Linked DNA regions of Oryctolagus cuniculus. The protein of the gene in region 1 interacts with the protein of each later gene in a pairwise test. Links are inferred from orthologs where the notes say so. Each region holds a gene or a part of one and is shown on either strand. Other genes may lie near its edges.

Region 1 (4,527 bases):
CAGCAGCAACTCCATGCTGATGCGCCCAGTTCTGCTCACAGCGGGGTAGCCACGACCTGCTTGGAAAAGAAGTGAATTTATTTAACCTTCATAGGCATGTTCTTCATCCTGGATCTTTCCAGAAAAGCACCGACTGGCATTGCTAAAATGCATAAAGGTATCTCACCAAGACACTCTTAACAGGGATAAGGAATGCAGAAGCGGAACCATCCACCAGACTAGGTAGAAATGGCCTGAGTAGGGCAGATCAGGGACCAGGATTCTGTCGTCAGCAGGGGTCTCAGAAACAGGGCAAAGGGGCACTGGGACCTAAAGTCAAGTGATCAAGGGCTACTCTGAGCTCCAAGGGTTTTTCTCATCTAAAACCCAAAAGGGTTAGCAAAGAAAACGTCCCAGGCCGGGCCCAGATCCACATGTCAAGGTCTTCCAGCGCTGTTAGAAAAATCAGCTTAGCGCCTTCAGCTTGCTTTTGGCCGTGGCTTAGCTTTCCACACAGCCGTTCCAAGTGGGGCCTTTAAAAATTCTGCCCTCAAATCGAAGGTGGCTGCAGCCACACTCCGGGTGATATCACGAGACTCCCAGGGCGAGGCTCCCCTGCTTCCTCAGCATATGCCAGTGCCTGTTTTATAGGGGGGATTTACGATCCTTCCCTCAGTAGAGCGAGCCAAAGTTTTATAATATTCATTAAAAATCAGCACCACATGCAATAATACGGAATAGTGCCCTTACCCAAGGGGCCAAGTTATAGGTGTTTAGGGAAACGTGGCAGAGTTTCCTGGCCTCTCCACGGGTAAAGCTGCAGGCAGCAGCACTGCACTCACCCAACCTAATTTTACTGCAAGCCTATCTCTCCAGCCTGGGTCCCTAACGACTCTCTTAAAACTCTAACTACCAAGCTTTCTCCTGACGGGGCAGCCGCGCGATGGCCATAGGGGCAACACCCTGCAGCCTCCAGGGACAGGCTGGCAAGGTGGCTGGAGCTGGGGAGCTGGACTTGGAATTGAGCTTCGCACAGAGCGAGCGCTCTTTCCATAACCTGGCCGGGGGTGCTTAGACGTTCCTGGAATGGGGCAGGCCGAGGCGCTGCTGAAAAAGATCCAAACGTTAGCCTCGGTCGGGTGCTCCTCTCGGTCGGCCTGTCCCTAGGCAGAAGCAGGGGTCCGGTCAGCCCTGGGGGAAGTGGGAGGGAGAGGGGTGCGTGGAGCACCTTTTCGGGCTTGTCCAGGAAAAACGCGCAGACCACAGCCCAGCAGTCTCAGGTCTCGCTCCCGGGCCTGGAGGCAGTGCCCTGGGCTCTGGCCCCTCTCCCGCCCTGGCCTCCCCAAGCCCAAACCCCTAACCCTGCTCTTGCAAGGCCCTGCCAGCCGAGCGGGCAGCCCCGCCGGGAGCAGAGGGCTCTGCGGGCCGCACGGCCGCACAAAGCGGGGAGCTCGGCGCGCCCCCTCCCGCGAGCCGGCGGAGCGCGCGCCCGCCCCCGCCCCCGGAGCGCCATTCGCGGAGCGGCTTACGCTAGTCGCCGGGCGTACGGCGCCCCAGCGGCCGGGGAGGTGCGCTGCCCGGCTCCCGTAAAGTTATTGTGAATGGGGAGCGGGTGACGTCAGCGCCGAATGTCAACAATGTAGCGATTGAGAGTGTGGGCGTTCCAGGGAGAGCGCAAGCCGCGCGGCACGGAGCAAACACCGCCGAGCCGCCGCCGCCGCAGCAGCCGCCGCCGCCGCCGCCGCACAGCACAGCAGCGGCCGTGCACGCCCGGCTGCGGTCGCACCAGCGCTCCCGCTCCCGCCGCCGCGCCCTCGCCGCCCGCTCCCGCCGCCGCCCCGCTCTCGCCCTCTCCCTGGCCGCTTCTCGCCCCTCCCCTCCCCCTTCCCGGCGCACTCGGGGGCTGGGAACGAGCTGCCATGTGATGCGCGTCCCCTCTGCGAGCCTTCGGTGACCCCCCGAACCGCCCACCGCGCCGGCTGCTGGGACGGGGCTCGGGCCGGGCAGACGTGGGGACGAGGAGGCGGAAAGGACGCGAAGTTCTCCGGCGAGGTGAGTCCCCGGCCCCGGCGGGGCGGCGGGCGAGCATGCAGGGGGAACGGGTGCGCGGGGCAGGCGGGGAGGCGTGGGGAAGCGGAGCCGCGGCCGCCCTGCCCAGCGCCCCGCGCGCAGCCGCCCGCCCCGCGCCCTCCCGCTTTTATGGCATTTTCTAGGAACGGGAAGCGGGTGGGCGCCGCGGCGAACGGGCGCTCTGCCGCCTGGCTGTTTACGGCGGGCGAGGCGGCATTGTATTTTGCTCGCGTCGACGGGTGTTTTGGAACAGCAGGGGGAGGAGGAGCAGAGGGTAATAAGTCAGGCGCGGGAGGGCGGGTGGAGCGAAGCGCGCGGCCGCGGGAGCTGCCGCAGCTGTCAGACCCACGGCCCTGCCCCGGCCGGGCCAAGCCTGTGCCGCCCGGCCCCCCGGCCCGCGAGACCCGCGCCCAGCCGGGCTGCCGCCTCCCGGTCCGCGCCGCCGCTCCTTTGCGCTCAGCTGTCAGCCGCTGCCGGTGGCCCAGACCGCAGCCGCTGGCGGGAGATCCAAGCCCAAGTTTAGGCTCCCAGGAAAGGGGCAGGTTGGGGGCTTCGCGGCGCACACCTGAGTGGAATCTCTGCCTCCCGGGTTGTCGGAATGCGTCCCGCGGAGCTTAAACCTGGGGCTCGAGGCTCCTGCAGGGAAGCCTCGCACCTCCCTCTCCCGGGGTACTGCACGAAGCCTACGTGCAACGCACGCACACAGCCCCGGAGCTCCACCTGGGAATGTCGGTCGGGGAGACCCCGGCTCTCCAAATCGAGGCGCGCCGTGGGTCTCGGTTCTAGCTGCCTGTGCGGCCGGGCACTCTGGACAGGGCGGCGGGCGGCGCTCACGGGCTACCCCAGCTGCCCGCGAGCCGGGGACTCCAACTAGCATCTCGACCGCCTCGATCTGGATGGGGATTTGCAAGAACTCGGGCCGGGCCGGGCCGGGCCGGGCGCACGTGTCTGCCTCGGGGCTTGTGGCGCGCGGGTTGTCCCGCACCCTCTCGCTTGCAGGCGAGTTGGACAACTTGGAGGGGGGCGGAGTTCCCCGGGCGGCTAGTGTCCCGGCTGGTTTTGTCTGTGGCCCTCCTGGCCACTGCCGTCGCCGCGACCCGTGGCCGCCGGGGAACGAGGAGTCGAGGGCGCCCCCACCGCGAGACAGAGCCGCAGACGCCCCGCGGGCGCGCGGGTGGGGAGGCGCGGCGTCCCCCGGTGTTCACCTTCGCTGTCTGGTGCTACAGTCTCTCACTCTGTGAAGTTCATCTGTTGAGCGTATTTAACTAAAAAGGGTAATTACTTTAGATAAAAATCCTTTCCTGCCTGGTGGGAACCTTGGCGGAGATGATGCCTAATGAGATATTTTGCTTTTGTCTGTTTAGAGTAAAATTAGAGATGTTAACTCTGATAACGGTTTTCTCAGATCATTAAAATGTAACATGTAGGAAGGGCATGTTGGCTGCGAAGGCTGTGGCTGACGTGCTGAGCGTGGAGGGCTGCCACTCTCGTGGAGGGAAGGGGCGTCTCGCTTCAAATGGGAGCCCGCCCCACCCTCAGTCTCTAGCAGCTCGCAAGGGAAACGGCGTTTTTTTTTTTTTTTTTTTCATTCTTGCAGGTAATAATAAGCGTGAGTCAAAATGACATCTTGTTAGAATTAGTCTTTAGTCTGTAAGAGAGATTGCTAAATTACAGTGTTGCGTTCAGACTGCTCCAGTGAAAGGTCTGTCAGCATTTCCATTATAAATTCAGTTTTTCAGGAGTTTATAATTTCACCACAAAACTTTGAGTGGCTGCAATGTGTTTTTCCCTTCCAGGGTTCTGGTTTAAAAAAAAAAAAACACATGCATTGGCTACCCACCTCTGTCCTATTTGCTGTTGTTGAGACTTGAACATCTTTCAGATGGCACAGGGATTGGGGGGTGGGGAGGGATGGAGAAGAAGTGGGTCCCAGAAGTGGTTAAAAAAAAAAAAGCAACCATGGAATAAAGTAGTTTTGCTAGAATGTAACTTTATGTGTGCAGAGTAGTGTTTCCATTCTGGATTTTGGAAGGCTTCAGATTTGCTGTTTGGTGATCATACGTGTGTTGGGTGAATTCTGTCTATTCTGCAGGTAGACTGACATGCCAGTTGGGATCACAAGGAGAAACACTCTCCTCGTGTGTGTGTGTGTGTGTATGTGTGTGTCTGAACTCAAAATTTTTGAACACTCCTAGCAGTTACTTTTCAGTCCTTTTTACGTTGCATGCCAGGATCTGCCCTAGAGAAGAAGGGGTGAGGCAGAAAGGGAGGAGGTAGTGGAGACCCCCCTGATTCCCCTTCAATATTGCCAGAGCCTGAGAGGAAGCTATGTATTCGCTGGCTGTTGAATTATGCCCTTCGACTGGGTATCGCCCAGCAGTTCCCTTCCAGGTGCTCACCTCTGGCTGCTGGGTGAGGGGCTGAACTATTTGCACACTGCCTTGAAATTCCCTGGATGAAAGGCAGAGAATGAGTGCA
Region 2 (4,450 bases), on another chromosome or scaffold:
GTGAGGGCAGTGACATCATCACCTGGCTGCAAGGGTGGAGAAGGCTCCTCCCTGTGGCTCCCACGTGGCTTTGCCCCAAGCAGTCTCACCTCGTGGAGTTTGTCAGCCTTCTGGGTCTGCTTCTTCCGACTTCTCTGAGCAGCAACTCGGTTTTTTTCTCTCCTTCGCACCTTCCTGTCATCATCCTCAGGGCTCTGGGGAGTGAGGGGGGTAGGGAGAGACATTCGGTGAGGTTTGAAGTTGAGACCCCTCACTCTGCCCTCTCTTTGCTCAGCGCTGTTCACTGGGCTCCACCACGGTAGGAGTATTTGCAATCAACATCCGTGTTCATTGCTACCCCATTGGGCTCAGGGTTGAGGACCACTCCCTGGGGGCCATGCCACCTACCCTGAAAAATGGGGTGTGACCGCCATCTAAAAAGATGAGGAATAAGAAACCCAGACAGGTTAAGGAACTTGCTGCAGGTACCAGCTAGTGAGTGAGGGAGTAGGAAGTGGAACTCAGGTCTGTTAGTCTCCAAACCACCGTTGGCAAACCTCTACCCCACAGGGCGTGTGCCTGGAAGAGCTGTGGTGTCAGTGCTGCCGGGGCAGACTGGGAAAGCTAGGGGCATAGCTGTGTGGAGCTTGCTGGACGCCAGCCCTCACGCGGCCAGGCCGAGCAGGTCCTCGGGAGAGTGGCTGCAGGCCGCGCTTACACTCGCACCTGACGGCAAACACGTGACGCCACCAACACGCCAAGCGATCTGAAGTGCCCTGGCAACGTGCTCATTTGAACAATGTGTGGCTGACATTGCTTCAGAGGTTACAGTGAATCAGAAAGCAAAGTTATGATGTGTCCTGAAAACTCTTAGCTTCACACGAGATCTGAGCCAAACTTAGTCAACTCCTTCAAGGGGGAATCGTGAAACAGGGAGACCGAAAAACGGAGCTACTGCACAAAAACTCTGCAGCCAGTTACAGAAATCATGGAAAAGAAGAGCAGTATTTGCTTTCCAGAGCCCAGTGAGAAGATATCAAGGGAAACACACACACACACACACACACACACACACAAACCTTCTTTCTAAAGAGTCTAAAAACCAAGAGGTTAGTGGGGTTGCAAACACAGAAAGCTACTCAATTATTCATGGAAAGCAAATAACACAAACTAATGGATATTTTAAGTTATCTTATCTGGCCTTGCATTCCAAATAAGACAGGCACATATCATCTCCCCAACTTCCAGTAGGAAAGAAGTCCCAGCATATGCAAAAATATAAAGATATAAAAGGAGAAGAATAAATAGTTTACATTATAATAGAATAGAGACAGGTGTAACAAGGTAATCTTGTAGAGAGGCCAAGAAGTCTTGCTAAAGACACGCAGACCGTCAAGGATCCTGGCTTTGTCTCTTACTGTCAGATGGCCTGGAGTAAATGACCGAACTTCTCTGAGTTTTCCGTTCCCGACTGTGATTCATTCATTCTTTCGGAGCACCTGCAGGTGTGCTAGGCACTGCCTATGCGGTGGGGACACAATTCCTGAACAGATGTTGGTGCTCCCCGCTGCCTTCGGCCAACAGCCTGGCGCTGGGGGCTGGCACCGGACACAGCGAGATTCTATCCTGAAGCTCCCGTGGGCACGCAGCCTGCTCTCCTGAAGCTACCTGCCCTAACCGAGGCTGCTGTTTTTAATTGAATCTTCACAGTGCTTTTCACTAAATCATGCCTCTGGGAGCTGACACGCTAAACTGGATTTATTACCTATCAGGGATGCGTGTCACACCTGCCCGCCCGGCAGAACTACTTAAGGCAGAAAGAGGGGAGTACAATTTTGAGATGTTCCTATATGATGAAGCACGTCTCACTCAGTTTTCACAAAAAATCCTGGGAGGTCGACGTTATTCTACTCATTTCACAAATGGGGAAACCGAGGCACGGAGAGATTAAGCGAATTGCCGAGGCTGCTCAGCCTGGGTGGCGATGCCGAGGCCCAAAGGCGCCGGACACACACCGGGGAGAGAGCGCGAGAACCAGCCCCAACCGCCGCCAAGCGGAGCTGGGCGCTAAGGCTCCGAGGGGCCGTCCCCGCCGGCAGCCTAGTCCCAGTTTTCTGCGTGCACAGCTCTAAGTGCTGCTGGGGACGGCGCGGAGGACCGACTGGGAGCCGGCAGGGGGGGTAGGGGGACGAGGGGGTTCTACCAGAGCTGGGGGTGGAGTCTCCCCGCCGCGGCCCCCGCCCCACACCCCCAGGCTGACCCGTACCGCGTTCCCCATTCCAGCAGCCGCCAGAGGAGGGTGGGTGTTGGGAGTGGCTGGGGACGAGCCGCCCCTTTGGGTTGAAGGGCCCCTCCGGAAACGCCGGCTGCGGGGTGGTGGCCTTCGGCGGCGCCCGGACCGACGGCCCTGGGGCAGCGTGGACCCCACGTGCCAGGATGCGCGGGCAGTGCCCTGCCACAGTGGACGTCCGCTCCCTGCGGCCTTTCCACTCTCGGAGGACTCGGAGCCCTCCCAGGCGCGGCCGAAGCGCACGCCGGGACCCCCGGGCCATCGCCCCCACGCCCCTAGTCCCACTCGTCTCTGGCGCCGGCAGCGCCCTCCACCCGCGAGCCCCCGCGGCCCTCCCAGAGTCTCTCGCCCACTACCTGCGGCTGCTGCTGATGCCCCGGCGCCGCGACGCTCCTCTGCAGGACGCCGCCAGCGGCCGGGAGCCCCTGCGACATGCCGGGCGCTGGTGCAGCCGGCCCGCCCCGCGCGCAGCCCGGTGGAGGCGCGGCCCGGCCCGCGGCGCCCTGCACGCGGGGCCCGGGCTACGAGCGCCCTCCGACCGCCCGCATCGCCTCGCCCGCACCTGGCCGTCGGCTTGCGCCCCGCCCCCGCGGGCTTCCCGCTCTCCCGGCTCGCCGGCGCCGCGCGTCCGCCCGGGCTCCCCACCCCCGGGTCGCGGCCCGCGGTCCTTCCCGTCCCCAAGTGCGCCCCGCCTCCTTCTCCCACCTCCGCCCCGTTTCCTCCTCTCCCCGCCCTCTGCTGCGCCTCGGGGTCCCCAATCCCACCTCAGGCGCGGCTTTTCGCTGGGGCCCCGAAGTCACGTGGCGGCTCGGAAACCGAGGAGGGAACGCGACGCCCACCCGCGGGAGGCGACGCTGGGGTGGGTGGGGGTCGGGAGGCACAGCCTTGGGGGCACTCGGGGTGAGAAACGCAGCTGGGTGGTCGGGGGTGGTGGTTTTGTCTGCGCATTGCCTACGCCTCCCTGCCGCCCCCCAGCCCCGGCGGGAGTCGGGCTTTGGGGGCTCTCTCCGGGCACTCGGCCTTTGGGTCGCCACCGTCACTCGGTCCTCAGCCCAGGAGGCGCAGGCGCGGGGAGGGGCGGCAGCCTCACGCGTCGCGCCGCGCGCCCAGAGCGCGGGCGTTCCCGGGCCTTTCTGCGGGGAGCACCTGCCCTTTCTGTTCCCGGTCCTGCCGGGCTGCGGGAAGGAGCGAGGCGGGGCGGCCCCGAGCGTGGATTCCGTGAGCCGGAGCGTGGGCAGGGGCCACTGTCCTGGACGGGAACAGTGACGGCCGTCCCAGGGAGCGAATCCCACACGTTGGACAACGTCTCTGGCGACCGGATCAGGACTGTGGCCCCATCATCCTGAAGTCAGATGGACCAGAACCGTTTCCTTGTTCAAGATTGGAGCGGCAGGTGCCCTGCCTGTAGGTTTAAGATGTGTGGTTGCTGCCACACGCCCATGCCGCAGCGGGGACAGGGCAAAGGCAGGGCGTATTGCACCCCCCACCCCCAACCTGTCTGCCACTTAATAAGTGTTGAACGTGGTTCCAGCAAATAAAGAACGAGCGGTTACCGGCTTGAGGTCTGCGAGGAGTCAGCGCTGGGAAGGGAAGCGAGCCGCGACTCCGAGTGGGCGGGTGGGCAGGTCACAAATGCCTTCCCAGTGTAGTCGCTGAGGCCTTCAGGTTTGTGGGCAGCGGGGGGGATGGGGCACGAGAAATTCTGATTCCCAGGCCAGGGCACGTGACTGTCGGCCAGGATTTAAGACTCGTCTTCAAAGCCTTCAGAGCAGCAGGAAAGCCAGTGGGAAGTCCGGGAGAGCAGGGGAGCTGGGCGGTAGGGAAGAGGCGAGAGGGCGCAGGGCAGACGGGGACTGGGGGCGGGGGGGGGAATACTCTTTCAGATCCCTGTGTCGCACCCCGCGCAGGCCAGCACCTCGAACAGGTGCACACGATGTACCCAGCACAGCGCACCACATTATCTCAGGTGCTCGATAAAGCTATTGCGGGAGGTCAGCTGAGATCTCTAATTCTGGAAAAATTACACGGACTCAGAGAAGACAGGGGAACACTGGGTGAAGTGGTTGTAACATTCAGAAGCACTGTTATCTCCGATGCTGTGTGCGCATGCGAAGGACAGGGTCTCAGCACCACTGGACACTCAGGTGCACGCCCTGATTCCGGTCGTTGGCACTTTTCTGT

Evidence for each region.
Region 2: the proteins of BACH2 (region 1) and BATF3 interact in binary tests that used the Homo sapiens proteins (3 or more experiments, as listed by UniProt). The link is inferred for Oryctolagus cuniculus from reciprocal best matches to the Homo sapiens genes BACH2 and BATF3.

The regions. Positions count from the first base shown.
Region 1 is NC_091436.1:82,212,455-82,216,981, forward strand, and holds the start of BACH2 (transcription regulator protein BACH2), read left to right. Parts: upstream 1-1,635; 5' UTR 1,636-2,031; intron 2,032-4,527. UniProt on the Homo sapiens protein: Transcriptional regulator that acts as a repressor or activator. Binds to Maf recognition elements (MARE). Plays an important role in coordinating transcription activation and repression by MAFK.
Region 2 is NC_091444.1:27,153,226-27,157,675, forward strand, and holds the start of BATF3 (basic leucine zipper transcriptional factor ATF-like 3), read right to left. Parts: upstream 2,929-4,450; 5' UTR 2,704-2,928; coding exon 2,626-2,703; intron 195-2,625; coding exon 90-194; intron 1-89. UniProt on the Homo sapiens protein: AP-1 family transcription factor that controls the differentiation of CD8(+) thymic conventional dendritic cells in the immune system.